3 linked regions of the Rattus norvegicus genome follow. The protein of the gene in region 3 binds, or shares a complex with, the protein of the main gene of each other region. Links are inferred from orthologs where the notes say so. Each region holds a gene or a part of one and is shown on either strand. Other genes may lie near its edges.

What was found.
Region 1: Trim21 (region 3) and Cul1 share a complex: the UniProt entries of both Homo sapiens proteins name them as parts of the SCF(SKP2)-like complex. The link is inferred for Rattus norvegicus from reciprocal best matches to the Homo sapiens genes TRIM21 and CUL1.
Region 2: the proteins of Trim21 (region 3) and Ube2e1 are in contact, whole or in part, in a crystal structure (PDB 6FGA), measured with the Homo sapiens proteins. The link is inferred for Rattus norvegicus from reciprocal best matches to the Homo sapiens genes TRIM21 and UBE2E1. Residues at the interface, in NP_003132.2 of Homo sapiens: Pro17, Ile18, Cys19, Leu20, Asp21, Glu38, Cys39, Gln42, Val43, Pro52, Arg55; in NP_003332.1 of Homo sapiens: Lys43, Lys50, Arg51, Lys54, Pro107, Phe108, Asn138, Trp139, Ser140, Pro141, Ala142, Thr144.

What each region holds. Positions count from the first base shown.
Region 1 is NC_086022.1:77,547,727-77,558,126, forward strand, and holds the start of Cul1 (cullin-1), read left to right. Parts: upstream 1-4,098; 5' UTR 4,099-4,191; intron 4,192-4,507; exon of another isoform or gene 4,508-4,644; intron 4,645-5,039; exon of another isoform or gene 5,040-5,280; intron 5,281-10,400. UniProt on the Homo sapiens protein: Core component of multiple cullin-RING-based SCF (SKP1-CUL1-F-box protein) E3 ubiquitin-protein ligase complexes, which mediate the ubiquitination of proteins involved in cell cycle progression, signal transduction and transcription.
Region 2 is NC_086033.1:9,865,256-9,875,579, reverse strand, and holds the start of Ube2e1 (ubiquitin-conjugating enzyme E2 E1), read right to left. Parts: upstream 5,039-10,324; 5' UTR 4,855-5,038; intron 4,765-4,854; exon of another isoform or gene 4,764-4,764; coding exon of another isoform or gene 4,446-4,763; exon of another isoform or gene 4,354-4,445; coding exon of another isoform or gene 4,351-4,353; intron 4,317-4,350; coding exon of another isoform or gene 4,284-4,316; coding exon 4,132-4,283; intron 1-4,131. UniProt on the Homo sapiens protein: Accepts ubiquitin from the E1 complex and catalyzes its covalent attachment to other proteins. Catalyzes the covalent attachment of ISG15 to other proteins. Mediates the selective degradation of short-lived and abnormal proteins.
Region 3 is NC_086019.1:166,392,510-166,402,968, reverse strand, and holds the start of Trim21 (E3 ubiquitin-protein ligase TRIM21), read left to right. Parts: upstream 1-3,597; 5' UTR 3,598-3,660; intron 3,661-10,459. UniProt on the Homo sapiens protein: E3 ubiquitin-protein ligase whose activity is dependent on E2 enzymes, UBE2D1, UBE2D2, UBE2E1 and UBE2E2.

The sequences.
Region 1 (10,400 bases), on a different chromosome or scaffold from region 3:
GATTCGTTGAAGTTTGGGCTTTTGCTATAAATTGTAATGCTAAATACTGGTCCCCAAACCTTGGTTGCTCCCAGGGATGAGGAGATCCTCATATAAACTACGTGATGTTATGTAACCAACCCTGCTCTTTAATTTAAAACTATTGGCTGAATAAAGATGCCACAGCTAGGCAGAAAAGAGGTAGGCGATGTTTTGGCTGCTGGGCTTGGGGTCTGAGGCAGAGACCATGATGAGAAGAGAGAACATGTGGAGAGTGGAAAAGATGCCATGGGGTAAGGGATTGTGAGAACTGGCTATGAGGGCCAGTCAGAGTAAGAGCAGCCCAGGCAGAACACGGCAAGTCCTGTCTCAGGGTTATTGGTAGGGAAGTAGACATAACAGCACAGAGGGCAGATATACCCCCAGTTTGAGCTGATTAAGGCTCATTATAAATATAAAAGTTTTGTATCTTTTATCTGGGAACAAAATGATCTAAGGTAGGGTAGAAACTCCCAATTAAGAAAGTCAGTTATGTCAAAGGATGTTTTCCTGAAGCAGACACAGGTGAAAGGATGTTTTGCTAAAGCAAGCACATGAAAGGATGCATGATGAAGAATCCTTCACTAATGATATGCATGTATTGGTTCAGCTACACTGTGTAGCTGACCTCCATTTGTCATGACTCCATAGAGAAATGCACCAAAACACTTCTGGTGTTCTGGAGGCTTCTTGCCACTTCCTCAGACTTCTGCTATTTGGCAAAGTGATGTCAGCTGATAACAGACTCATGTGGAGGAAAGACATGTTGTGAGGCAAGATCAATGGAGGACAGACATGTTTGGAGGGAGTATAAATAGGACTCAATGGACAGTGACAGGGGCTTGCATACCTAGCTTTGTAAAGCTTCTTGGTCTTGGGTTTTTATTAAGAACCAGTATTAAAAATAGGGCTGAGAAAAATCAAAAGCCTACAAGAATGTACTACTTTTGAAGAGGATCTAGTTTTAGTCTCCAGCACCCACACAGGGCTGTTCATAGCCTGTAACTTCAGCCCTAGGGATTAGGCACCTCTGACCTCCACAGATACCTGCACTTACGTGTATATATACTCATACTCCCAATACATACATAAGGAATCAAAAATGTCTTCAAAATTGTACACACAATTAAAATATTAATAAAAATCTTTTACTCGACTCCCAGTCTGTTTGTGGCACAGGCTGGCCTGACACTCACAAAGATATACCTTCTCTGCCTCCTGAGATTAAGAGCATTTGTCATTATGATCAGCTTACTCCTTTGGAGGCTAGAGAGATGGCTCAGTGAAGTAAGAGCTTTTTGCAGAGGACATAATTTCAATTCCCAGCACACTCATGGTAACTCACAACTGTAGTAATTCCAAATCCAGGGGTTTAGGCACCCTCTTCCGGTCTTCCTTCAGTACAATGCATGCACAGATAGTACACGTATGTTTAGGCAACACACTCATACATGGAACTGCAGGCTTTGCTTTTATAAAGTGCGCAAGAGATTCAACACATACATAAAAAATTAAAACTTATGCAGCTTCAAAACAAATGAGGATCATTAGGTTATAAGGCTTAATAGTGAAAGTTTTAGGCTTATAACTTTTAAAACCTGGACAGAAGGAACATGGAGTGGTTCCCAAACTCAGGTTCTGGGTCTTTAGCAAATTTCATCATTGTCAGAAATACCAATGTTTAGATTACAGCTCCATGAGTTACTACTATCATCTCCATATCAGATGAGGATGAAACACGAGTAGTTTAATAGCTTGCTCAAACCTACCCACTTAATAGTGGTTCACACAAATATAAACTCTGGTAGTGTCAGCTTCTGGTTTTGTTCTTTTCCTTCCAAGTTCGGGTCTTAGATCTGGAAGGGCCCTGAAGTTTATAATTTTCTCTGGGTAATTCTGAAGCCCAGTCAGTTTAGGGACAACCTGTGAAATACAGTTACTTTCCACAGACTAGTTTCTTACCCGTCTTAGACTAATAGTTCCTGTGGCTGTTTAAGTGACTAGGTGCTCTTTCGTCTGAGCAGTGACCATGTGGGCAGGCTTTAGTGTTCATTCATTCAGCAAAATGCTGACAGAAATTTAAGAAATAATCCTCTCCCCAAGGCATACCTGAAGCCACTCATGGGAACCTCCACAATGAGGGATTTTAAAAATAGCTATTTAGACCTAAAACTTGAGCTTTTCCAACTACGTTAATATTTCTAATTTACAAAGCTATATTTTAATCTCATTGACTTTTGTCTGATAAAGACCTTTGAAACAGTTTTAAACTTTGATTCTGGTGTCACTATCTTTCCAAACTGGCTCATCCAAAAAGATAACTGTTTTGCTAAGATAGAGGAGATTAGGTGTGTTTTGAGCATGAAAGTTATATCTTTTTGTCCTATTAGGTAGGGCTGTCTGCTCAGAACAGATGCCATCTGGTTGCAAAGTGGACACAGGTCAATGAACAAGTCCAGCCACTGAAAATGACAGTATGGACAGTAAATAAAAGACTTTAAAACAAGGAATGGAGACTGAGAACTGGGGATGGATTCAGATAGACCAAATACCTATATTTAGGGCAAAACGGGTTGGAGAAAACCCTCAAGTTGACACACACATATCCAGAGGTGAAAAATCACAGAAAAGGAGACCATATAGAATGATGACACTGAAGAACGACAGATTAGGAAATATGGAGAGGAAGTAAATTGTTATCTCTGAACATGGGAATCCAGTTTAAAACAAAAGCCAAAATATTCAAGGGACAAACCTTCCACTTTCTTACCTCCATCTTCATCATGTATCCACAGAAAGGTTACTAAAAACATGTTTCTTTTGACTGAGTTATTGAGGTGTTTGATATAAAAAAATAAAAATCTCTTTCCCCCAGACAAACGTAAACATAATTTGGTATACACATATACAAACAACACTCCTAAAAATACGTAATAGATGTTGACAAAAAGCCACAGTTCCATAGGACTAAACAAGCAGTTCTCTTAACTTCCTAATGCTGCTACTCTTTCATACAGTTCACTGGGTGACCCACCAATCAGAACATGATTTTTGTTTGTTTCATAACTGTAATTTTGCTGTTATGAATAGTGATGTAAATGTTTTTGGAGAAGTTTGTCCAATGGGTCTCGACCCACAGGTGAGAACTTGGAACACACACCAGTGAGACTTTCGAGAGGAAATACAGGTGGTGACTCAGGCTGTGGATCTGGGACTGCAGGTATGCGGAGGAGACTGTCCTGAAGTGGTGCATTAGAATCTCTGTAGTGTTCTTGTTAGGTGAAAACAGAAGTTACATCAAATACATCTTTGGCCCAGATGATGGGCTAACTGAAAATATTCCCTTGCTTGTTCACAGAATTAAATGGCAGATCTAAGCCAGGATATTAAAACAGCTGCCTCTTAACTAGGTGCGGGGTAAATCCATTCTTTCTCCAGCCTCTCACTTGTGGGACAAACACCTGTGGGGTGTTGCCAAATTTACAATGGGATATTACAAACACAAGACAAGACAGCAGCTGATTTCTAACGGGTGAGATTATTCTAGATGTAAATACTATTTCCTGCCATCCCAGGTTGGAATCGCAACTCCAACTCTCCAGAACTGAACCTTATACACTGAAAGTGAAAAGGATCTAAAAGGGAAAGAAGCCCACTTTAGTTTGGAGAAAAGTACTAAAGAGGAAGACACACAGACACGTGGGTATGTGAGTAAGCTGGAGGTTTTCGCAGGGGGATCTCCAAGGCCTGCAGGTAGGAGGGGGGTCGGAGAAGCAATGGCACGTTTCTCTGGAGTCCGCGCTGATTTGGGGGCCGCCAGCCCATCTGACTTTCTCTTCTCACGGTTGGGGATATTGCCACTGGTTCAACTCCAACTCCAGGTCTGGAGACATCCAGCTCGGTGCACTTGGAGTCCATGTCAGCTCCCAGGATGTGCATGCAGGAGAGGGGCAGAGGAGGTCGCAGCCCCTCTCCTACAGCCGCTTCCGGAAGTTTCTTCAGAGACCTGAGCCCCCAACCTCAGCACGGCCCCCACGAGAAGTCCGAAGTGGCGGGAAGCCGGGGCTTAAGAGGCCGCCCCGACGCGAGGGCGGCGGGAAAACCTGGCGGAGGATTCCGCACGTCCGGCGGGACCTAGTTCGGCGTTTGGGAAGCAGAGGCCATGGCTCCCAGGTAGAAATGCCTGCGTGAAGCGGGTCCTCGCCACTGAGGGGCGGCCAGAGACTCTGGGAGGGCGGTTTCAGTGCCCCTCCCGCGCTGCCTCTGGCCAGGCGATGGCGGCGACGGTTTCTTGGCTCCCCCGCCCCGGACGCCGATGGCGGTGCGTTCCGGCCCTCCCTCCCCCACGGCTTCGCCCCGCGGTCGCCAGAGCCGGTGAAGCCGGGAGGGCGGGGAGCGGCGGAGGGACGGCGAGAGGGCGGAGGTTGCGTGGTGCAGGCGGCGGCGGCGGCGGCGGCGGGAGGAGGAGGGCCGGCAGGCGGGCAGGGGAGGAGGAGGAGGAGCGGGCGCCGTGTCGCACGCAGCTCCAGGCGGGGCAGCCCGGGCGCTGAGGGACGCGGCCAGACCTCGGCGGGCCCCGCGAGCACTACACGCCGCCCGAGCGTCGGGGGGCGCCCGGAGATGCGGGTGAGTAGCGGCTCGGGCCGCGGTGGCGGGAGGCAGCGCAGGCCCGGGCAGAGCCGCGGCGTCGCAGTGACTCGGGCCGCGGCGTCCGAGCCCGGGTTGCCGGCAAGGCCCGAGGCGCCGCGACTAGGCGGAATGGCGGCCGGGCTGGAGAAATCGTGGGCGTAGGACGCTGAGGGCGGAGCGGAGCCGGCAGGCCCGGCCTGAGTCACCGGGCCGGCCAGGCTCGGCCTGGGCCGGGACTCGCAGGACCAGGCCCCGGCTACGCACTGGGAAAAAGCCGGACTCACCGCGGCCTGTGGCGCGGGCCTCGGCGCCTCACGCGTTACCCCTCCCTTCCCCTCGGCCCTGGGGGTTCCGCTCGGCCGGGGCGGCTCAGGGCCGCGGGACTCGTGCTCTCGGGGATCCCGGGGCACTCATTGTTGCGACGGTGCGGGGCATGATTATTGGGTAACAGTGGTGCCCCGGGCTCCGTTCTCTCTGGGAGCGTGGCCGAGCAGGCGCGCCGGGATGCGGTGTGCTTTTCGAAAGGAACGGAGCCCCGGGGCGTCCGCCAGCTTTCCTCAGTCGAGCTGGGCCCTGTGCGGCGGCCTCGGCGCGTCCCCGGGCCCGGCGGGAGCGCGCGCTCTGACCCCAAAGGTAACCGGGCACCGGGCCAGGGGGACCGAGTCGGGGGCCGGAGATTCTGCGGGTCTCTATTCTTAAATCCCGCGTGGCCCTGAGAACCCCTTCTTTCTGTCACCTGTGCACTGTGTTACACCGGAGATAATTAAGAAAGCAAGGGACGCTTGCACTCTTCATTCCTTGAGTCTAATAATCCCCAAAGTTAAGGGAGCTAGGTCTGCCAAAAAAGAGGATTCCCCCTTTCCTACGAGGTCGCTGTTGGTACTTGCAGTTCACTGTCGTTGGGGGTTTGTGGTAAGGGCACGCATGCTGAAATGCAGTCAAGTTGTTCAAGTGTTTTTAGTTGCTCTGTGTGTGCTTGCTCTGTGCTGGAGTAGCATTAAAACAGCCAAAAGCTAAGGATGGAATAAATAATTACTGTTTTAGAAAGGCACTGGGGTGACAAAAGAGGAACTAAATTCCTTTTACTTCAAGTTTCTAGGACCTAAACCTAACACTCTGGAGAAGCAAGTGTAGTTGAGAAAAATAAGGATATAAGGTCTTTCTTTGTTTGAAAAGGTTTTAAGATTTATTTTTATTATTTTTTTACATAAAACTTGTATTTATTGCTTCCTATAGTAAGTTGAAACAGTTACATCTCATTTTAAATTCTGAGTATGCAACACAACACTGGCTTGCTTTATCGTCTATTATGCCTATTTTTGGAGGTTTTGGGGAAGCACTTACTAAGCTTGGGAGAAAAGGCTGAAGTGCTTTCTAAAAATGTTAACCTTTTCTCTTTCCTCCCCCGTTGGCATCATCTTTAAAAAACTATTTTGCCCAAAAGCAAATATTTTAGATATGCTAGGGTGTTTGTAAGATACATCTTTCCTGAGCCTTATGGTCAGGCCCTGGAAGGTGTGGCCCAAATTCCTAGTATGTCACATACATCTGAAGTCTGAGCTAATTTGGCCAGGTGTCTTTAGATATTACATAGACTCTGTTGTTCAGGGAACTCCACCTTCTTGCTGTAATTAATTTTGTCAGTGTAGGCTTATTTCCCATACGTGTGACTATGAAATCATTGAAAACAAGGAATAAGTCCTTTACTTTGTCTCCCTCAGATAACATAGAACATGATCTTGGTGGTACCATGAATGGCTTTTTTTTTTTTATTGACTAATTAAATTAATCCTAGGGTTTTACTCCTCCCCTTAATTTTGGCTGCAGAAAACATAGTCATTGTTGCTGTTGATCTTGTTAAAAGTGCAAGTTTACTATTATGTTGCATGCTTCCCTAGAGTGAAACTCATTTTTCTTGTGTTGCCCCTTTCACCTGATAAGTACTTACTTTACCTAGGGAAAAAAAAATTGTCCAAGGTTTCTTTGTGGAAATCCAAACAGTTTGTAAAATTAAAATTAATCATTTTAATTTAAGAAGTCAGTATTTTTTTAAAAACAAGTTTGTTTACCCCTTTACCTTTGAAGTAAAGCAGGTTAGTATTTAAGGCTATTCCCTGCTGGAAAGATAGGCCAGCCCAGTTGTACTAAAGTTTCTGTGAGAGGATAAGGGATAATGTACCTTCATTTCAGCAAGGAAAATTATGTTTAAATGAACAAACTTTAAGTCAAACAGTAGTTACTTGGCATTCTTAAGATTTAATTTGTTAGGGCCCCCCAAAATTATTAGGGCACTTCATAAGTCTCAAAGCCTACTTAGTCTTTTTTACCTTTATCAGTGAAGTCATGGGATAATATGAGAATCAGTGGTTTCATTTTGAACTTACCTTTAGGTTTGTTTGGAGGAAAAAAGCTGTTAACCATCTATTTTAAAGGACAGTTCTAAATTCATCTTTAAAAAAAAAAAATGTGTGCGATTAGGGGGATGTTTGCCCGGAAACCGGGAAAGGGAATAACATTCGAAATGTAAATAAATACTCACGTTAATAAAAAAAAAAATATGTGCGCATGCCCCATAGCACACATGTGAACGCCAGAAGACAACCTTCATAGTCTTTATCTTATGGGTCCCAGGGATTCTTTAAACTTGGCAGCAGTTCCTTAGACTTGGCAGCAAACACCTAAGGTAATTTTTAAGTGATACTGTCTAACTTTTAAGTCCTTAAAATATATGGATTCCTTGGGAACATAACTAGCGAGACATTGGAGAACTACCTTAAAGAACATAATATAACATTTCATATTTGACCACCAGGGTTATGAAAAGCCCAAGTTTGATAGTATTTAATTTTTCCCTTGTGAAATCTGGATAAAAGGAAGATTCCGCTCTCTGGCTTCCACTCACGTTTCAGCTAGATTGCACTTCTAATTTGTTCTGGGTTAACATCCTTCTTTTTCTTTTCTTATCACTTTATAGCTCAGGCATCTCCATCTCAGGAATGCTGGCCTTGCCATTCTGTCTAGGACCTTTCCCTAGGTCCTCATGATGTCTATGGTACTATACCAGTGCTTAATTTCTGATGATACTTGGTGGTTTCTTCTGTTAGGCTGTCTTTACCCAGGGGCAGGGTGGAACAAATCTGACGCTAGTACCTGTCACAATGCTTATGTCAAAATTCATGTACTTCCTCCCACTTCAAATCTTTACAAAGCCATGTGAAGTTTAAGTACTGACATTTAACCCTTCTTGTAGAAAATAGAAGGGTCCTGGACTTTGGGTAGTTTTCATCAAGGCTATGAAGGTATAACACCCCTAGTAGGTGGTTAGAGCAAGATGTTGATCTCAGAGCTTGAACTTTTAAACAAGAGCTCACCTTGAAAGTCTGATGTATATGAAATTAAAGGAAGATTATCAGAGATTAAAATGAAAGCGTCTTTAAAGATTGATGTCTGTGATCATTACAACAGAATGCATCATACATAATTATGGTCAGCTCCCAAGAATGAGTTTCTTCTTCTGGTCCTTCAGAAAACACTGGACAGTACTTAGACAGTGATGGTGTAGACATAAACAGTTGTAGAACATTGGGGCTATTGTTAAATTGGGTGTAATGTTATGACTCATTGGCCTTGCAAAAATTCCTAAATTCATTTAATAAGCTAATTTTTTAAAGGTCTGTGTCAGAAAATACTTTAGAAAACAGACTACTAATTTAAGTATGTATAAAGTATGCAGTAGTTTAAGTAATTAAAGTTTTAAAATGGTGGTGATTTTAGGTGAACTTGTGTCTTTTAAAATTTTTTATAAATCAATTAATAACAAAGTATCAATTTCAAGTCTCAGGGTGGAGAAACTTAATAATAATACCAAAAATATGGACTTTAAAAAAAGAACCAATTCAGAGTTTTAAAGCTTCTTATGGTAAAATCTTGTAAACAGAATAAAAGGCAAATGACAAACTACGAAAATGTTTTTACATGCAAATTTATTTTTTATACTATCAAAGGGGACTTGTAAACTAATGGGAAAAAGATTCCCTTCTATGGCAAAAAATGGGAAAATTGGAATAGGAAACATGAAAATCTTGAGCTTTACTAACAGTATTCCCAGAAGTGGTGCTTTGTAATGTTTTAAAATAAGTCACTTTTGTACAGTGCAGCAGAAGAGGGCATCAGATCCTATTACAGATGGTTGTGAACCAGCATGTGGTTGCTGGGAATTGAACTCAGGACCTCTGGAAGAGTAGTCAGTGTTCTTAACCACTGAGCCATCTCTCCAGCCCATAAATATTATTTTTTTTAAGCAATTATTTTTGTGTGTATGGGTTTTCTGGGCTGCCATGTTGATGTTGGGATCTTGTATTCTCAGGAAATGCTTTTAACTGCCGATCCATCACTTCAGCCCCAACTAAGATTTTTCAAGACTTATAAATTGTAGCAGAAATTTCAAAATGATGTATAGTTTGAAATAGCCTGCTTTTAAGGATTTTGTTAACAATATAAAAAGTGATCAATAGATTAGCAATACCCCCGTATATGTGACTTAATGCCTTTTTCTTATGCATTAATTTTCAGTTTGGGGTTATTGTGGATGACTTTCAGCATTGTTTAGGTAAATCCTTACATTTTTGTAATATTGTATTGAATATTAAAGTACAAAGATACTAAAAATTAATATGTATAAAAGTTTTTCAAGAGTGGGAGTGTATTTTGGAAAGTAACTACGTTAGTGATTATCTTTAAGAAGTGGTTCATTTTAGGGTTTTTTTTTTTGCCAATTTTTCTCTACTGCATACGTATTTCTAGCTAGACAACTGGAAATACAATATAGTGGGTTGGTTTTCCTTCGGATGATTTTTGGAGCAAGATGCTGTGGATGGAACCCAGGGGAGCATCAGACTTCGTATGCTAGGCAAGTCCCCACTACTGAGCTACTTCCCAGGGTATTGAGATAATTTTCAAAAGCATAAATCCAAAGCAAATAGTAGTAGAACCACTGCCAAGGAATGTCATTCTGCTTATTTTATTCAATGTAGAGTTACTTGGTATTTGATTTACCTGCTCCTCCTTTCCATGTGTTAATGGATAGGGTTAAATGTCTGACTTGGTAGCCTGATTGGTTCTAGTGGTCAAGTTCTCCTTTGTCTTCTGTGCTCATTCATTCTTGTATCATCCTTCACATTATTTCCATTAAACTCAATATGTTTTGATATTTATCATTTATTTAAAATAGCCTTCATAGTGAAGATTTCCTTTTCCTTTAAAAAGTGTGTGTGTATACATACATGTATGTACACATATATGTACATGTGGCATGCTACCACACAGTTGTGGAGGACAAACGTGTAGTACTCAGTTCTTGGGGTTAAACTTAAAGTCACCAAGCCTGCATTCCCTGCTGAGCCATCTGGGCAACTGAGTGTTCCTTTTCTTGGTGATAATTGAACTTCCCATTTTGCTTAGTCCATAACTCCTAATAATAGGAGATACATTTTAAGTTGAATGTTTAAATTATGAAGCCTTCATTTATAGTAATAAAACTTACTGAAAATTACTTGACACAATTCATGCTATAACTTGGAAAAAGAAAGTTGCTTGGTTTGTTTAGTTATCTATGAAGGATCCTTTAAATTAGAAATATTTCGGGAATTAGAAGAAGGTAGGTACATAGAAATGTGCATAAAATGCACAGAAGCTGTCACCAGATAATCAATGGAGAAATACCTTTGGTACACAGAATACACTATATTCTCACT
Region 2 (10,324 bases), on a different chromosome or scaffold from region 3:
GATCAGGAAACAAGGTTAGTCAGAAGCCCTTCCAGAATCAGGTCAGTAGCCCACCTTACCTCCACTGCGGAAGGAGAGGATACGCAGAGGTCCCAGGCTGGGGAGACTTCCCTGTGCAGGGGAGCAGCTTGCAGGCTCTCCCACCCTTGACAGCATAGGGCTTCCAATACTGCCAAGCACACAAAAACAGTTGCCTCCCGCGTTTTCCATGTAAACAGTTTGAGTCTCCCCTGGGATTCCCAGACCTGGGGCCCAGCAGTGGTTGTCCAGGTCTGGTCTCCCTGCCCGAACCTGGACCTCTTGCTCCCTAAACAGTGACTCCACACAGCAGCCCCACCCCCAGGCCAGGCCCATCGTTCTGAGTCTCCCAGCAGACCACTACTCCGTCAGGTACCCTCCACACCCCCCCCCCCCCCCCCGGTCAGGCCAGGACCCTGCACACCAGCGCCCCCTGCAGGCCGGGACCTGCCACATCAGCGCCCTCAGCAGGTCAGTGCTGCTCAGACCCAGACCCTGCCCGCACCGGGACACAGTGGCCTGCCGGCAAAGCCAATATGGCCGCTCGGGGCCCTAGTGACCGCCACCGTCAAGGGTCGAGCGGCCCAGGAAGTGCTGGGTGGAGCCGAGGACCGCAGGACCCCCAGCGGCCCCGCACAGGTGCACGGCCGCCTGCACCCTCCGGGAGCACTGGCCCGTGCCCAGCCCCGGACTTCCCGGCCGCCCGGGCCGAGGACAAGCTTGCTCGGGCAGCCCCAGCCCTGCAGGCCCGCATTGGTCTCTCCGCACCTCCTCACCTCACAAAGAGCCCATCCCCCACCCTTAGGCCGAAGCCACTGACAGTTCATACCGGGCCCTGGCCTTTGTCTTCTCTTCTGCTAACTCAGGCGCTGAGGGCACCAGTTAAAACGACAAACTTTGGGGCCTTAAGCTACTTCTCCTAAAGGGAGACTATGTATGACTTCTCATCCTAACGGGCAACTTAAAAATCCACCAAGGCAAAAAAGAGGACAACAAGCAAACTCGGCGATCTGAATGACAATGGGTGTTTTTCCCTTTCCAGTGGTTTTCAGAGGGTAAGAAGAAGTCTGCTATGAAGCTCTGACATTTTTAGCTGGTACTTCTTCCGCGTTAAAAGTAAAACAAATTGAGTGGTGCCTGGGGAAGTTCTTCAAAGTTTCCTATTGAAGAGACTTCCTGTCCCTCCAAATGTGGTCCCGTTTAGAACATCCAGTCTCTACTGACATTATTAGTGTCCTGCTAAATTCTACCACTTCCAGTAAGAATCCTGGTCCCTTTAGGCTTGCATCTGGTGTTTCATTCCCAAATGGATGTTAGTTCGGAGGACTAGCTTCCAGATTCCTGTACGTGTTGGAACTAACCATTTTCAGATCTGAAAGCAAATGTGTCCCCCTGAGCTGTAAAAGGAACAAATTGCTCCTTTAATGCTTAGAAGGTGAAGCTTTTAAGGCTGGTGATAGCTCACAGCTAAAGATGCCTGGATCCTACCTGATGACCCCAGTTCAATCCCTGGAATCTACAGCGGAGAAAAGAGAACTGTCTTCAGCAATTCGGCCTCTGACCTCCACAGTGTACCCTGACATGCCTGACATACATACATGAATACACACAAAATAAAGCTATAAGCTTTTTTAAACTCCAATACCACCGAGTTTTACTCACTGAGCCTCAAACGTCACCATCTGCAGCATGTCCAGACACGAAGCCAAGGTCTGCAGTGACTCAAAGGCCTGTTCAAAATGTGGGTCTAGCTCTGTGTACTTCCTGCTGGAGACCATGCTCCATAGTGAATGAATCCCCTTATTCTGCCCACATAGGTTTCCTTTTCCACCATCTCCTGGTACACATGACCTTTCCAACTTCATTAGGAAGTTCCAAACCAACACATTTCAACCCACCGTCCTAACTTCTCCCTTTCATCCTGTCCTAGACACCCTTTCCACTTTTTGTCTTTCGATGTTGACCTAGCTCTCCTTCAACGCACACAGCCACTGCTGGAACAAGTTCTCTAGGCGTCTAAACCTGCTGCATTCAGCACACTGGCTTGCAGGTAAAGCCGTCACTTGCTGATCCCCAGCTGCCCTTCCTACTTGCCATGTCTCTTTACCAGCTGCTCCCAACTTGTCCCTCGTAGGCCAGGCTGACAAGGAATGGCAGTGGCCGTCCATCTAGTCCCAACGGTTTTCTAAGGGTAGGAACTTCTCCAGTCAACATTCAGTGTCCCCTTTGACAGGAGAAGAAGGTCCAGCTAAAGGCAGCAGGGCTCAGTGCATTATACTTGGCCTCTTCCTACCCTCCAGAGACCTTGAGAAAGGAAGACTGATCCTACCTGGCATAGCCCTGGGATTACAGGCCTGTGCTACCATTCCTGGTGGTGCTTCATGCCTGTTCGGCCAACACCCTCCCATCTGAGCTACCACAGTTTTACACTTTTTGCTTGGTATTTTGCTCATGAGACAGAGTGTCGTGGAACTCTCCCTATAGAACAGGCTGACTGAACTCACAGGACATCTACCTGCCTGTTTCCAAGGGCCGAGCTAATCAAAGGCCTGTACCACTACACCCAGAACTAAGTTTCTAGCCTTCTAAGCATACAAGACAAGCTATATCTATGGAGAAATCTATTTATTTGTGCTATACTGATAAAATGCAAACTACTTTCTATACCTGTCCATTTTCTTCCTAACACAGTCACAAACGCACCGATTTCTAGCTTAATGCAAAAGCCCCACTGACATCACAGCTCATGTCCTGCACTAGGGCAGGACAGGCCAAAGTGAAACAGAGAGCCTAAGAAGACAGAGAGTGACCAAGAAAGGCCATCCAGAGCAAGATGGATGGACTCTAGGCTCAGGGAGATTCTCGGAGGTCATCAAAGACCCTGGAGGGTCTGAGATATAACCAAAAACCAGAGAAACCCAGAGCAGTTTTATCAAAGCATCAACACTGCTCTCGAGACCTGAACACTAACCATTTAAAATGACTGAAGTCACCATATATCAGTCCGGTTAGGTCACTAAGACAGCACACCAAGTTTCTGAATTTCAGGTCAGGGAAAAGGACAGATGAGACTGTCAATCTCTGAGTGCCAGGCTCACTACTCAGCAGAGAGATCCAACGCCATCTAGACCTTCCACTTCATTTAAATTCTTTAGAGAATGCCCTTCCCCACCAGCCCACAGTTTCTGTTCCTTACTATGGCCAACTATCTCAACAAAAAGAGGAGTTATGAAAGGACGTCAGGGAGTTCCCAGGTACCTGCTAGAGACTATTTTAAGGATCACAGGGATCAGAGAATGTGACTTAAGGTCGACAGAGGTAAAGTATATCTACCTGCCTTTTTACACAAAAGACTATCGCTGGCTGAAGTAAGTGACTCACTTCTGTAACCCCAGCAATCAAGAGGCTGAGACAGAAGTTGTGCTGAGTTCAAGGCCAGTTTGGGCCACAAGAGACCCTGTCTAATAAACAAGTCTTCCTGAAAAGTATCAAACTGAAGTTCTTAAACAGAAAAGGAAAAAAAAAAATCTCCCCAAAATACCTGAAATAAAATAAGTTTACAGTCACTCAGTGATTCTTTCACTACCTCAACTCTCCAAACAGGCAGAGGCTCTTCAAATGCCGCCATAAAACATCACGTAAATTTCTTTAACCACTAATGGGAGTTAGTTATTCCTTAAGTAATGTATGGGGGGGGGGGGGAACCCAGTTCAGAAAACACAACCCCTGCAACAGGTGAAGAGGAAGAAAGATGGTCAGAACTCGTCTTGACAGAATTGCCCAGGAAGGTATGCTTAATAATGAAGTATGATGACAGCCTCTAGGAAGTCGTGATTACTAGAACGAGGACTCTGAAATCACATTGCGAGAGTCACTCATAAAAGTAATGAGGATTCTTGAAACTCCCAACAAGAAACGGACGAGGCCAACCACAACTCCTGCTTGTGGACATGGGCTTTAACAAAACCAGAAGCAGCGAGCAGGAGAGAAAACAGGTGGGACTCCCGTGCCCCATTTTCCTGCCTGAGAACGTCGTCGTTGAAGCCTCCCTCCCTGACATGCAGCACGAGGCGACCGGGAAGCTAGATGTCTGTGGAGAAAGGAGTGGGATACCTCTTGGCACTGGTGGAGAGGAGCTTCGAGTTTTTGCTCATGCTGACTTTACTCTCCTTCTTCTTGGGGGTGCTGCCTTCTTTCTCGGTCTGCTGGTTGGAGGACGAAGATGAGGAAGAGCTGGTGCTGGCCCTCGAATCGTCATCCGACATAGCGAACCCCCCACCCCACCCCGCGAACGGCCCCTGCAGGGGGAGGAAACAAAACAGAAACACAGACCATGCAGGCGCTGCAAAGAGGGAACTCCGCTGTCAGGAGGGCGCGGGCCGGGCCGCCCCCGCCGCCCTGCAGAGGCTCCGGGCCCACCGCCGCACCGGCCGAAGAGACGCGGGGGCCGCGATCGCGCGGGGGGTGGCCTGAGGAGGGCCAGGAGCCGTCGCCGCCGTCCCTGAGGCCTCCCGGCGTCCGCTCGAGTTTGGTGAGGTCCGGACGAGCCGAGCAGCCAGAGTGGGTGAGGAAGCCGAGCGTGGGCCGCGTGGGCCGCGGGGACACGGCGCCCGGCCAGGCCCGGCCACGCGGGGCTGCGCTCGCAGGCCGGCGCGCACAATGCGCCCCGGGCGGGCGGGTCCCCGCGGGGACCGGGCCCCGCTGACAGTTCGCGCGGCCCCCGCCGCCCCGGCCCGCCGCCCCATCCCCGCCGCCCGGCCCTGCTGCCTGTGGCCCGGCGGTGCCGTCCGCCCCCGGCCCCGCGGCCCGCTCGCCCGCCCCGGGGGCCCCCCGCACCTCTCTTTGTGTCTGGCTGCTCCGTGCCGCCGCCGCGGCTGCTGCTGCGGCTGCGGCTGGGCCTGGCCACTCGTGTCTCGCTCTCGCTGGGAGAGAAGCGGAAGTGCAGCAACAGCAACTATTAACCAGGCAATGGCTTCCCCGGCCGCACACGCTCCGCGCCACTCCTCCTCTCCGCCCCGCCCCGCGCCCCTCCCCCGCCGCACCTGGGGGCCGCGGCCCCAGAGCCCCGAGCGACCCCGGCGTGGCCTGGGGACCGGGCGCCGGGCGGAGCCGAGGCAGCCGGGCGGGATTGGGAGACGACTGGGCCCGGTGGAAACCGGGGTGACCAGGGGAAGTTCTTCCCAGGAGGGCTTTAGGGAAGGGCTGGGGGGTGAGATGGCCGGAGAAGGGAAAAGGTGGTACTCTCCTGGCGAGGACTTTGACTCCTCCCCAAAAGTGATCCGTTTGTAAAGAAAGGGGGGGAAAATCCCCTAACAGGGTTTTCCTTTGGGCTGACACTTGTTCCTCCCTCTGGCAATTGCGTGCTTGGAGCAGAGGTCACGCCTGTGAGAAAAAACCCAGACGGGTTTCTGTTTAGGACACACCAGGCGTGTGCAATTTTACACTAGATACCCCCCTCCCCCCTGCCCTTCACTTCTTATAGAGAAGAATGTGGACTTTTTTTTTTTTTTTTAATGTATGCGATTGGAGTTCGTGACAGATAACCACGACCCGGCATGGGATTGTAATATCACTGGAAATAAACCATGAGCCGATGATTTTTGACAGGATTTGGAATTCTTAGATTAGATATAATGTCTGAGTCTTAGAAATTGGAAAAAAAAAAAGTTCTAGAAAGCACCCTACTTTCTCTTTACTCCAATATGATGCTATTCAAATAATATTTTTAGAATAGTTACACAGTAATGTCACTAAATTGTTCCTTGTGTGGCACTGTACCGAAGTTTATTTTTAAAAACATCCCACCATTAAATTAGGACTTCGTTTCTTACCTGTTTGTCGTTTACCCTAAAGGGAACAGACCCCTGCCATCCAAGTACAAGGTCCACACACACAAGATCTTGTGTCCTGGGCAGACAACTGCACTCAGATTTCCATGGTCCACTTTAAATGACCTCATTCAAATTGCCTCCCATGGCAACCCTGGCTTCAGTTACCACACAGGATATAAAGAAAGCTCACCGACAGTAGCCAGGAGAGCAGGCATTCTCACTACCCAGCTAAACCCCTTCTAGCTGTCCATCTGAAACTCCAGCTGTGTTAAGATTCATAACGTAATTACACACTTTATTCCACTCAAATCTTCAAGGAAACCTGCATCTAGTAAGAGTTGTCTTCAAATCGTGTGTAAGATTAGTGATAAGACCTCTCCTAGGCCACCATTTGAACCTCCTTCAACAGAAAGAACCCTTCCTCTACTACCCAAAGCAAATGATTTGCCCCGTTTGGGACAGAGTTTCTCTGTGTAGCTCTTGCTGTCCTGGAATTCCAGACCAGGCTGGCCTGGAACTCACAGAGATCCACCTGCCTCTGCTTCTCAAGTGCTGGGACTAAAGGTGTTCACCACCACTGCCAGGCAAACATAAATTTAGAAGAAATCTCCACAAGTGTTTTGTTTTGTATGTGCTGGAAGAGCTTATCAATGATAATACCAGCAGGTCATGGTGACTCAGGTATGGGAGGCATAGGCAAGCAGACCTCTGTTGAGACCAGCCTGATGTGTATAGCATTCTGGGCCATCCAGCGATACATATTGAGACCCTGTGTCCCCCCCCCCCCAAATATTACTAAAAAGTCAGTAATGAATAAATAAAAATAGCTATGTATTCAAAAATATTCTGATGTAAAGACTGCTATTTTAAAACTTTTTAAATGTTTAAGATTTTATATGTATGTAGACCAGGCTGGCCCTGAGCTCACAGTTTTCCTCCTCTTCCTCCTGAGCACTGAGATTAAAGGCACGTAACACACCTCCCAGCTTCCAGCTCTCTACTTTTTTCTTTTGGCAGTTTTGGGAATTGAACCCAGGTCTTTAGCATGTGTCAGATAAGTTCTCTACACTCCTACCTAGACTGACTCGTGTTCACAGTTCCAAGGCCTAAGAATCTAAACTGATCTCCTAGGAAGAAAGAGCATCAGTTTCCTCATGTATAAAGGGCAAGAATGCCCACATTGTCAAATGCTTATCTATGATAACATGCTCTATTAGTCATTGCACAAAGTAAACGAATCATTCAAACCTGGGAGCCTAGGTTGGATTTTCTAGGTTTTTTTTTTTTTTTTTTTTTTTTTGGAACATGGGATCTTTAAGACCTGAAATTGATTATGAGTATTTTATTAGAAAAATGCTTGTCAGGAGTTCAAAGCCTTCCTCAGTTATGTGGTAAGTTTGAGGCTATGCCACATGAGTCTAGGCCTGCCTCAAAATAAATAGACAAATTCGAAAGAAAGAAAGAAACCTTTCAAGAGGAAGACAGAGTTGAGGAATGAGGATTTCCATGTCTGGAGGGGCATAGACTGCTTTCCAGTTTACATTCATGGTTCAGTTGAAGAAAGGAAGGTGGAGAAAGCCCACGGATCTTCTTCAAGGTCATGCGGTACAAGCTCGATGCCTTGATGTCCACACACGGCCTTGTCAGTTCTGGCAGTGCTGGTATAGAAGAAGGCCCTCGGTTATAGTAAAGAAAATATATTGAATATGAAAAGCAAGCTCGGATAATATTTTAAAATGCACTAACTGTGGGTGGGTGTGACAGAATGTGCCCAAAATCCCGGCTTCTGGGGGAGGGGGGGAAGCCGGAAGATGAAGAAAGAGTTCAAGAGTGGGAGGGGCAGGAGGAGTTCTAAACCAGTCTCTGCTACAGAGCAAGGTCAAGGCCAACCTGGACTACTTGAGACTGTTTCAAAAAAGAAAGGAAAACTGATTATTAACAAAACCAACCAAGTGAGCTGAGGAAGTCACAGAATCTGTAACATTTACTTATTATTAAAATACACTAATGTCCTCTATTCAAGTTCTCCATCCTGAAGATAACCATCACTACTTATTCTATATTTATGGATGTTTTGCCATGTTTTTTTTTCTTAAAAGAATAAGCAATAACTTACCTACTTCCCCCAATTCCCAATTTCCCCAGAGGGAGCTGTTTTCCTGTAGTGGGCTCTGGGAGTGCAAGCAAATGCCTCAAACCCATTAAGTGCTATGATTGGATTGCTCAATTTACAGTAAAAAAAAAAAAAAAAACACAAAGGAAATTAAGGAATTGGGATGTGACGTCCCACAGGCGTAGTGAGCCTGGCTCCACATTTTACCAAGTTCAGGTTCAAAGCCATGCTGAGCCAAATAGGAAGACCTTGTCTAGAAAACACACACACACACACACACACACACACACACACACACACACACACAGAAAGAGAGAGAGAGAGAGAGAGAGAGAGAGAGAGAGAGAGAGAGAGAGAGGAGTTCAAAAACAAGCAAGGAAATGGACATTTGCTGATATAGCTGGGAATGGTGTCACTCAAAAGGCTGAGACAGAAGGATTAGTATTATAAATTCAAGGCCATCCAGTGAGTTACAGTTCAACTTGGGCTATAACATGAAACCTTGTCTTAAAACCAAAAAGAAAAATAGCAAGAAATTGGATAGACAGATGGGTGATAGGTAGATAATTCATGTTTTCCCTTTCTTTTTGACTGCTTGTGGTTTAGGCTTGTTTCATTCTTTGCTTTCTGTTTGAGACTAGGTCTCCCTGTGGAACCCAGGCTGGCCTGTACCTTGTGGTCCTCTTGTCTCAGTCTCTCAAGGACTGGGATTATAGGAGTTTATCACCACATCAGTCTCTCTTAACATAGTTTTTAAAACTTTCTTGAGTCCAATAGAAAAGATTTCCTTCTGTCAACCAAACAAACAAACCATCCTGTTTGGAATTTTATAAGGGTTTCTTCAAAAAGGACTCACCTCAGGTTTCTGTCCACCAGCTTCCCTGTATAATCTCTGATGGCTGAACAGTCTGGGGGCCTTTTTGTCTGATTTCATATTTTGTTCTTTAAAAAAATATTTGTTACCTATTATATCTGAGAGTTCATGTGTGTGGCCTCTCTTTCTTCCCTGTAGCTCCCAGGGACTGAACTTAGGTCATCTGGCTTGCTGGGCAAGAACATTTACCTGCTGAGCTGTTACTGCCCCCCCCCCCGCCCCCAAGAGAAGGAATGGACACAAAACAAAGCCTGTTTTCAATTTGGATGGTTTTCTCATAGAAAGGGAGAGGTAGAGGAGGAGGGAGGGGGAGGGAGGGGGAACTGACAGTTTCGAGCTCCTGCACCCACTTCTCTGATGCCACCACAAGAAGCTAGGACATATGTTATTTTTTTTTCTACCACATGGAGGCATTGGACAATCATGAGATTCTTAGAACTCAGTAAGGCTTGATAAGAGTCGTGATCTCTCAGGCAAGGGCAAAAGGCATATTTACTGTCTGAAGGTGAGCAGAAGCTATCTTCTCAACATAAAATTCAGCACCTTCTGTTTGGAGGCCCTCTCTAAAGTAAGTAGTCTTCGTTCATACATGTGAATGTGTGTGTTCATGTATTCTTGTGTGTGTGTGTGTGTGTGTGTGTGTGTGTATGAGAGAGGGAGGGAGGGAGAGAGAGAAAGAGAGAGAGAGAGAGAGAGAGAGAGAGAGAGAGAGAGAGAGAGACAGACAGACTCTCTATGTAGCCCTGGGTAGCCTGGACCTTGTTATGTAGCCCATAACAATTAAATTCACAAGATCCACCTGCCTCTGCCTCCTAAGGGCTCCCTAAAAGGCATACTTGGTTAAATTAGGCTTCTTCATCAAGGTAGATTATATCAGAATATAATTGGTTAGAGCAGTTCAGTTTGTGAGTCTCTGATATCTCCGCCCCCCCCCCGCCCCCAATCTAGCTCTTTTTCAGTTTACTGAAAATTGGGAAAATGAAATAGTATTAGAGAAGACTAATTTCGTTCAGGAGTCTCAGACAGCATCATGTGAAATTTCAGGGTAGTTTAGCTGCAGAGTGAGACTCTGTTCCCCTTCTCCCAGAGTTTTACAATGTTTCTTAAAATCATTCCCACCTCTTTATTTATTGCGTATGTATGTGGTGGAGAGCACATATGCATGCATATAAAGGTCAGAAGACAACTTTGAAGAGTTGGATCTCTCCTTTCACTATGTGGGTAGTGGGGGTTTCAAACCACTGTGGTGGCAGCACCTTGACTCTCTGAGCCCTCTGTGCTGTCTCTAAAGTGTGACAAATCTGTCAGCAGAGTTTCGGATCCACTTCTGAATCCAACATTTCTTTTTTTAAGATTGCTTTTATTTTTACTCACGTGTGTGTTTATGTGTGGTTATGTGTACTTAAAGGCAGGTGCCCACAGAGGCCAGAAACAATGGTCAAACTTACTGGATCTGTCGATGTGGGCTGTCGTGGGTCACCCCAAAGG
Region 3 (10,459 bases):
AAGTGAAGGTACATTCATGAAACAAACATTCTTGCTCAGTAATGCCTTGGAGATTGTCTGCCAAGCATGAGGTAGTGAAAAAACTTCAAGGATATTTATTTCCAGATCTGTCACCAAATATGCAATTATGAGCAGGTGACTTCCTTGATACTTGATCTTTATTTGTATGTTATAGGTGATGATTGCTTCACAGAATCTTTAATTACTATGATTAAGTTAGGATATATGGGACTGGGAGACAGTGTTCTTCCAGAGGACCAGAGTTTGGTTCTCAGCACTCGTATCTGGGAGCACAGCTGCCTAACAACTCCAGCTCCAGGGCATCCGACATCCTCTTCTGGCTTCCATGGGTGCTTGCCCAAACGCGCACAGGCACGCATGCACACACACAAATGTAATAAATCTTGTTTTCTCCAACACTCATTAAACTTGTTTATTTCAGAGACCTTTACTTTATAAAATGACTTTCCACACTGTCTTTTAAAAATCAAGCTTCACATAAATTTTTTCTTGTTTATTAATTGAGAATTTCCTACCTGCATATACCGTGTTTTGACCAACTATGGTCCCCAGTCCCTATCCTTTGATCCTCCCCGACTCCCTCACTGTTTTCCCAGCCAAACTCATCCACTTAAAGTTTTTCCTTAAGAAACCACTGAGGCTTTTAAAACTTAAATAAATTAGAATATGTAAGGCTCTTAGAAAAGAACCTATAAACTTTACACACACTCCTTTGAATTAGACGTAAGAAGCTAAGAGCTGGCTTTGGTGGCCTATATAACAGCTTATATCACATTAACTTCCCCCTACTCCATGGTTGTAGAGGAATTTTAATAAGTTTTATATTTTGGACTTTATCAAACTAATTCAAAGAGAGAGGTTTCACCAGCTCTCCAGGCCTACCGCAAGCCAACTGGTTGACAACTGAAATTACTTTCATACTCCTTGAACTCTTGTTTATGTCATTTTGATCCATTATGCAGTCTTAAGATTTTAGTTCCCTTCACTTCCTGTGGGAAGTGAAAGGAGGAAGTTGGAGGTCCCTGGAGGAAGTGGAGGTGCTGCCATAAATAGTATATAAAATAAATCATATAATACACTCTATCATTATATATCATGTTACTCTTAGCCTGATTTTTTACTGTATTGAGGAAAAACTTGAGCAGTTTTCTAGTGAAGTTTTTTGCATTGTTTACATTAAATATTATTTATATTAAACCAATTTTTCTAACAAAATAAGTAATATTCCAGCATATCTGTTTTCTCTCCTACATTATATCTTCCAAGCACCACCATTTTCAACTTGCTCAATTAAGCTCTTTCCAAAGAATTACCTGTAACAACTAACTGTTTTATATTTAAGGAGTCCTAACAATAGGGCTATGGAAACCATCATCTTGAATGTGAATTGTCAGAAGAGGTGGTTGGTAAAATTGGGGCATGATCTGTTGAGAGAGGAGGTACGGCAGCAACTTGGAAATCCCATCTGCTGCAGTCTGAACATCTGTATCTTAGTGAAATTAATAGAGTGAGATGATGATGATGGTGGTGGTGGTGGTGGTGGTGGTGGTGGTGGTGGTGGTGGTGGTGGTGGTGGTGGTGATGATGATGATGATGATGATGATGATGATGATGATGACGATGACGACAATGACGATATATGACTGTAACAAGAAGTGAGGCTAGGGATTAGGATCCTTAGACTCCCCAGTGAATGGAATTCTTGAGGGGAGGGCAGTAATGAGGGAGGATGGGGAGGGGAACACCCCTAAAGAAGGGGAGGGGGAGAGCTTAGGGGGATGTTGGCCTGAATATCAGGAAAGGGAATAACATTTGAAATGTAAATAAGAAATACCCAATTTAATTAAGATGGGGAAAAAAGATGCAAAGAGAAGGCCTTGTCTTTGAGGAAGAGATCAAGTCTGAGACGAGCAAACTTTTGCTACCTTACTTCGGACTTCCATATTTCACAATTATAAAAAAGAGACTTATGGGTTTTTATGAATTGGTCTGTGACATTTTATTATAGGAATCAACAAATGTTTTAACTATGAGAGTAAAGGGCTACCCCATAATTCTGATACACTGTCAAAACCAGCAACTGGTCAACCCTCTGTCATCTTTCTTGTGCCTCTCCCACACCCATTGGTCCTTTCCTGTTCCCAGCTGTCCTCCTTCTACTTCTGTATCTTTGGGGCTTCTTAGGTCACTAAGTTAGAAATGAGTAAAGAATGCTTTTCCTGTCCTGGACAGAGTGGACTTGGGTACCACTGAGACAACTTGGGTTACTGAAACACATTCAAGTTAGTAAAGCCTGACTAAAACCCAAAGCATAAATATCTCACTTCACCAAAACACTGATAATGTACTAGACAGTCCTATCAATGACATTAACTCTTCCCAAATAAATACTTGAGTCATTTCGCCCAGGGGAAGGAGGGTTGAGATATCAAAGTACTAGCTGAGAGTGAAGGAGATTTTGTTCTTCAGGAGTTTGGGTCTTCAGATAATTACCAAGGTGGGAGCTGAGGCAGCTATGAGTATATTACATTGGTCATCCTGTGTGCACATTATAGAGTATTTATCACCACAACCCTAGGGTGTGTATTAATCTCTCTATCCAGTGTGTAAACTGAAACAGATAAGGCGTCATCTAGTGGTAAATAGAAAAATAGACATTGACTCTACCACTACCTTATTTTGGGACCCAAGTTCTTTGCCTGCAGGAAATAGCGACAGATCTTCAGTGGTGTGAAGCAGAATCATTTTCTGATGTTTGCAGATGCCTTTGTCCTTTCAGATGCTTGACTCTGTTTTTCATTCTGCTTCCTGGAGCTGTTGTGTTCCTGGAATCAAGTCCCAATACAACAGCACAATCTAGACAGTAGATGTCGCCTGGTGACCTTTTACTGAGAAGGATCTCTTAAACAGGGCTGGAAATTTCAAAGCACGGAATGCTTTTATTTCCTAAATATGATAAATGGCAAGGAAAATTCACCTGATGGTTTTAGCGCAAATTATAATACAATCAATGTCCACAAGTCTCCCTTCATTGCTACAACACATACCCTAACATCATTAGGAATAAATTTCTCACCCTAGACTATTTGAAAAGAGGGGAGCAAAACGAGAAGACAGAGGGATGGGAAATGGGCATATGTCAAGCATACTGTGCAATTAATATATGTTAACAAAAACAGTGCCAGGATCTTTCACCCGGATTTTAAAGAACTATCAGTCTTGTGGGAAGATCCCTCTAGAAAAGATAGTAACTCCTCTCCCATCCAGACCTCTTCTCCCAGATGCTCCCAGGTTTGAAGTAAAGACCAGTGTCAAAGGTCGATATCCTGTAGATTACAGTCTGTTAAAGGTGACAAGGAGGCCTTAGAGAGACTGCACCCAAGAAGACATTAACTGAGTTTTCCTTTGCCTGTGGCCTGAAGTCAGTTTCTGGCACCTCTGACCACTCTCCTCCCACTCTCTGCCCAGTCTCCGCCCTATCTGCCTCCAAGGCTTGCCAGTCAACTCCCTGTTCCTCCCCTTGCTCCTCCCTCTTCCTTCTAAGCTTACCTCTGAGAGGAAACTGAAAGTGAAATTAGACTGCGGGCTTGCAAAAGTGAAGCTGAAAACAGCCTAGCCAAGTCTGAGGACCCTGGTAAGGTGAGTGAGGATGGGACCCCTGGCCAGACTAGATGGGCTCCCCCCACCCCACCCCAATGCCACAGATTCAAGGAGCCGCTTCCCACTAGCGCCCTACACACGGAATTTCCTAGCCCACCTGCTGCTTCTCTTCAGCGGAGTTCTCTAGTCCCAACCCTGCCAGGCTGCCCGTGCTTCCCTGTGAAAGCTGGTCTCTGAAATTGACTTTCCTAGTGCCATGAGCAGGAGAAGCAGGGCGGTGACCTAGTCCGGGAGGGAGAGGGGAGGGGGGAACTCGGGGAAACCCCAGCCCCTTGAAGACCCTCGATTGAGGAGAGTGCTAGCCACTTAGAAATTTCAGTGGGTTTAAGATACTCAGCACCCTAAAGGAAGTTGAGAGAAGTACTAGGCTTGGAGGAGCTTAGAGAAGAGCCCAGGGAGTGCTCCCCACAAATGTCAATAGATGAGCATACATACATATTCTGTACATAGACATTTAGATAGAGGAACGTATGGGCATGCCTACATTGATGCATTTGTGCTCAAGTGTAGCTTACAATGGAACATATCAGGGTAAATAAAGACATCAATTTGTGTGTGTGTGTGTGTGTGTGTGTGTGTGTGTGTGTGTGTCTGACACACACACACACACACACAAGCCTAATAACTGGGAAATATACTCTTAGATGATGTACTCAGGATAATGAATGCACATCTTGAAGTTTTTTTATTGGATTTTTTTTTATTTTTATTTCAAATGTTATCTCTTTCCTGTTTTCTCTTCCATAAACCCCCTATTCCACCTCCCCTCCCCCTTCTTCTATGATGGTGTTCCCCCGCCCACCCCTTACCACCCGCCTGCCCAGACATTTCCTACACTGTGATGTCAATTCTTGGCAGGACCAAGGGCTTCCCCTCCCATTGGTGCCCCAAAAGGCCATCCTCTGCTACTTATGCAGCTAGAGCAATGGGTCTGTCCATGTGTACTCTTTGGGTGGTGGTTTAGTCCCTGGGAGCTCTGGTTGGTTGATATTGTTCTTCCTATGGGGTTGCAAGCCCCTTCAGCTCCTTCCATCCTTTCTCTAACTCCTCCAAAGGGGACCCCACTCTCAGTTCAATGGTTGGCTGTGAGCATCTGCCTCTGTATTTGTCATGCTCTGGCAGAGCCTCTCAGGAGACAGCTATTTCAGGTTCCTGTCAGCATGCACTTCTTGGCATCAGCAATATTGTCTAGGGTTGGTAGCTGTATGTATATATGGTCTGGATGCCCAGGTGGGGCAGTCTCTGGATGGCCTTTCCTTCAGTCTCTGCTCCAAACTTTGTCTATATATTTCCTCCTATTAATATTTGTGTTCCTTCTTCTAAGAAGGACTGAAGCATCTGCACTTTGGTCGTCCTTCTTGAGCTTAATGTGATCTGTGGATTGTATCTTAGGTAACCCAAGGTTTGGGCTAATATCCACTTATCAATGACTGCATACCATGTATGTTTTTACTGATTGACTTACCTCATTCAGGATGATATTTTCTAGTCCAATCTATTTGCCTATGAATTTCATGAAGTCATTGTTTTTGATAGCTGAGTAGTATTCCATTGTGTAGATGTACCACATTTTCTGTATCCATTCCTCTGTTGAAGGGCATCTGGGTTCTTTCCAGCTTCAGGCTGTTATAAATAAGGCCGCTATGAACATAATGAAGCATGTGTCCTTGTTATATGTTGAAAAATCTTTTGGGTGTATACCCAGGAGTGGTATAGCTGGGTCCTCAGGTAGTACTATGACAGTTTTCTGAGGAACCTCCAGACTGATTTCCAAAATGGTTGTAATAGCTTGAAATCTCACCAACAATGGAAGAGTGTTCCTCTTTCTCCACATCCTCGCCAGCATCTATTGTCACCTGAGTTTTTGATCTTAGCCATTCTGACTGGTGTGAGATGTAATCTCAGGGTTGTTTTGATTTGCATTTCCCTGATGACTAAGGATGTTGAACATTTCTTTAGGTGCTTCTCAGCCATTTGGTATTCCTCAGTTGAGAATTCTTTGTTTAGCTCTGAACCCCATTTTTGATAGGGTTATGTGGTTCGCTAGAGTCTCACTACTTGAGTTCTTTGTATATATTGAATATTAGCCCTCTATCAGATGTAGGATTGGTAAAGATCTTTCCCAATCTGTTGGTTGCCATTTTGTCCTAATGACAGTGTCCTTTGCCTTACAGAAGCTTTGCAGTTTTATGAGGTCGCATTTGTTGATTCTTGATCTTAGAGCATAAGCCATTGGTGTTTTGTTCAGGAAATTTTTTCCAGTGCCCATGTGTTCGAGACTCTTCCCCACTTTTTCTTCTCTTAGTTTGCGTGCATCTTATTTTATGTGGAGGTTCCTGGTTCACTTGGACTTGAGCTTTGTACAGGGCAATAAGAGTGGATCAATTTGTGTTCTTCTACATGAGGACCTCCAGTTGAACCAGCATCATTTGCTGAAAATGCTATCTTTTTTCCATTGGATGGTTTTGGTTCCTTTGTCAAAAATCAAGTGCCCATAGGTGTGTGGGTTCATTTCTGGGTCTTCAATTCTATTCCACTGGTCTATCTGTCTGTCTCTGTACCAATACCATATACTTTTTATCACCATTGCTCTGTAATACTGCTTGAGGTCAGGGATGGTGATTCCCCCTGAAGTCCTTTTATTGTTGAGGATAGTTTTTGCTATCCTGGGTCTTTTGTTATTCCAAATGAATTTGCAAATTGTTCTGTCTAACTCTATGAAGAATTGAGTTGGAATTTTGATGGGGATTGTACTGAATCTGCAGATTGCTATTGGCAAGATGACCATTTTTACAATATTAATCTTGCCAATCCATGAGCGTGGGAGATCTTTCCATCTTCTGAGATCTTCGTCAATTTCTTTTTCAGAGACTTGAGGTTCTTGTCATACAGATCTTTCCCTCTCTTGGTTAGAGTCACAGGGAGGTACTTTGTATTATTTGTGACTATTGTGAAGGGTGTCATTTCCCTAATTTCTTTCTTAACTTGTTTATCCTTTGAGTAAAGGGAAGCTACTGATTTGTTTGAGTTCATTTTATATCCAGCCACTTTGCTGAAGTAGTTTATCAGGTTAGGAGTTCTCTGGTGAAAATTTTGGGGTCACTTAAGGATACTATCATATCATCTGCAAATAGTGACTTTTTTGACATCTTCCTTTTGATTTGTATCCCTTTGACCTGCTTTTGTTGTCTAATTTCTCTGGATAGGACTTTGAGTACTATGTTGAACAGATAGAGAGAAAGTGGGCAGCCTTGTCTAGTCCCTGATTTTTAGTGGGATTGCTTCAAGTTTTCCTCCATTTACTTTGATGTTGGCTACTGCTTTGCTGTTTAGTGCTTTTACTGTGTTTAGGTATGGGCCTTGATTTCCTGATCTTTCCAGAACTTTTATCATGAAGGGGTGTTGAATTTTGTCAAATGTTTTCTCAGCATCTAATGAAATGACTATGTGGTTCTTATCTTTAAATGTGTTTATATAATGGATTACATTGATGGATTTTCATATATTAAACCATCCCTGCATCCCTGGGATGAAGCCTACTTGATCATGATGGATGATCATTTTGATGTGTTCTTGTATTCAGTTTGCTAGAATTTTATTGAATATTTTTGTGCCAATATTCTTAAGGGAAATTGGTGTGAAGTTCTCTTTCTTTTGGGGGTCTTTGTGTGGTTTAGGTATAAGCATAATTGTGACTTCATAGAAGGAATTGGGTAGTGCTCCTTCTGTTTCAATTTTGTGGAATAGTTTGGATAGTATTGGTATGAGGTCTTCTATGAAGGTCTGATAGAATTCTGCACTAAACCCATATGTCCTGGGCTTTTTGTTTGTTTGTTTGTTTGTTTTGGTTGGGAGACTTTTAATGACTGCTTCTATTCCTTTAGGAGTTATGGGACTGTTTAGATGGTTTATCTGACTGTGATTTAACTTCGGTACCTGGTATTTGTCTAGAAAATTTTCCATTTCCTCCAGATTTTCCAGTTTTGTTGAGTATAGGCTTTTGTAGTAGAATCTGTTAATTTTTTTTAATTTCCTCAGTTTCTGTTGTTATGTCTCCCTTTTCATTTATGATTTGTTAATTTGCATACTGCCCCTGTGCCTCCTGGTTAGTCTGGCTAAGGGTTTATCTATCTTGTTGATTTTCTCAAAGAACCAGCTCCTGGTTTGTTGATTCTTTGTATAGTTCTTTTTATTTCTACTTGGTTTCAGCCCTGCCATCTACTCCTCTCGGGTGTATTTCCCTCTTTGTATTTTAGAGCTTTTAGTTGTACTGTCAAACTCCTAATGTATGCTCTCTCCACTTTCTATTCAGAGACACTCAGAGCTATGAGTTTCCTCTTAGCACTGCTTTCATTGTGTCCCATAAGTTTGGGTATGTTCTGCCTTCATTTTCATTAAATTCTAAAAAGTCTTTAATTTATTTCTTTATTTCTTCCTTAACCAAGTTATCATTGAGTAGAAAATTGTTCAGCTTCCATGTGTATGTGGACTTTTTGTCGTTTTTGTTTTTATTGAAGTCCAGTCTTAGTCCATGGTGATCCGATAGGATGCACAGAATTATTTCAATCTTCTTGTATCTGTTGAGGCCTGTTTTGTGACCAATTATATGGAAGATTTTGGAGAAGGTACCATGAGGTGCTGAGAAGGTATATACTTTTGTTTTAGCATGAAATGTTCTATAAATATCTGTTAAATCCATTTGGTCAATAACTTCTGTTAGTTTCTCTGTGTTTCTATTTAGTTTCTGTTTCCATTATCTGTCCCTTGATGAGAGTGGGGTGTTGAATTGTCCCACTCTATTATTGTGTGAGATACAATATATGATTTGAGCTTTAGTAAGGTTTCTCTTACATATGTAGGTGCCCTTGCATTTGGGGCATAGATATTTAGGATTGAGAGTTCATCTTGGTGGATTTTTCCTTTGATGAATATGAAGTGTCCTTCCTTATCTTTTTTGATAACTTTTGGTTGAAAGTCAATTTTATTTGATATTAGAATGGCTACTCCAGCTTCTTTCTTTGGACCATTTGCTTGGAAAATTGTTTCCTAACCTTTTACTCTGAGGTAGTGTCTTTCTGTCACGGAGGTGTGTTTCCTGTATGCAGCAAAATGCTGGGTTCTCTTTACGTATGCAGTCTGTTAGTCTATGTCTTTTTATTGGGGAATTGAGTCCATTGATGTTAAGAGATAGTAAGGAATAGTGATTGTTGTTTCCTGGGTGATGGTGGTGGTGGTGGTGGTGGTGGTGGTGGTGGTGGTGGTGGTGGTGGTGGTTGTTAGAGGTGGAATTATTTTTGTGTGGCTCTCTTCTTTTAGGTTTGTTGCAAGAAGATTACTTTCTTGCTTTTTCTAGGGTGTAGTTTCCCTCCTTATGTTGGGAGTTTTCCATCTCTTAACCTTAATAGGACTGGATTTGTGGAAAGATACTGTGAAAATTTTGTTTTGTCATGGAATATCTTGGTTTCTCTATCTATATCAATTGAGAGTTTTGCTGGATATAGTAGCCTGGGCTGGCATTTGTGTTCTCTTAGGGTCTGTATGATATCTGCCCAGTATCTCCTGGCTTTCATAGTCTCTGCTGAGAAGTCCAGTATAATTCTGGTAAGTCTGCCTTTATATGTTACTTGACTTTCCCCTTACTGCTTTTAATTTTCTTTCTTTGTTTTGTGCATTTGGTGTTTTAACTATTATGTGATGGAGGAATTTCTTTTCTTGTCCAATCTATTTGGAGTTCTGTAGGCTTCTTATATGTTTGTGGGCATCTCTTTCTCTAGGTTGGGGAAATTTTCTTCTGTAATTTTGTTGAAAATATTTACTGGCCCTTTAAGTTGGGAATCTTCACTCTCTTCTACACCTATTATCCTTAGGTTTGGTCTTCTCATTGTGTCCTGCATTTCCTGGATGTTTTGGTTAGGGGCTTTTTGTGTTTTGCATTTTCTTTCTTTTTTTTTTATTAACTTGAGTATTTCTTATTTACATTTCGAGTGTTATTCCCTTTCCCGGTTTCCAGGTCAACATCCCCCTAACCCCTCCCCTTCCCCTTCTTTATGGTTGTTCCCCTCCCCATCCTCCCCCCATTGCCGCCCTCCCCCCAAAAATCACGTTCACTGGGACCAAGGGCTTCCCCTTACACTGGTGATCTTACTAGGATATTCAATGCTACTTATGAGGTGAGAGTCCAGGGTCAGTCCATGTATAGTCTTTAGGTGGTGGCTTAGTCCCTGGAAGCTCTGGTTGTTTGGCATTGTTGTTCATATGGGGTCTCGAGCCCCTTCAAGCTCTTTCAGTCCTTTCTCTGATTCCTTCAACAGGGGTCCTGTTCTCAGTTCAGTGGTTTGCTGCTGGCATTCGCCTCTGTATTTGTTGTATTCTGGCTGTGTCTCTCAGGAGAGATCTACATCCGGCTCCTGTCGGTCTGCACTTCTTTGCTTCATCCATCTTGTCTAATTGGGTGGCTATATATGTATGGGCCACATGTGGGGCAGGCTCTGAATGGGTGTTCCTTCTGTGTCTGTTTTAATCTTTGCCTCTCTAATCCCTGCCAAGGGTATTCTTGTTCCCCTTTTAAAGAAGGAGTGAAGCATTCACATTTTGATCATCCGTCTTGAGTTTCATTTGTTCTAAGCATCTAGGGTAATTCAAGCATTTGGGCTAATAGCCACTTATCAATGAGTACATACCATGTGTGTTTTTCTGTGATTGGGTTACCTCACTCAGGATATTTTCCAGTTCCGACCATTTGCCTACGAATTTCATAAAGTCATTGTTTTTGATAGCT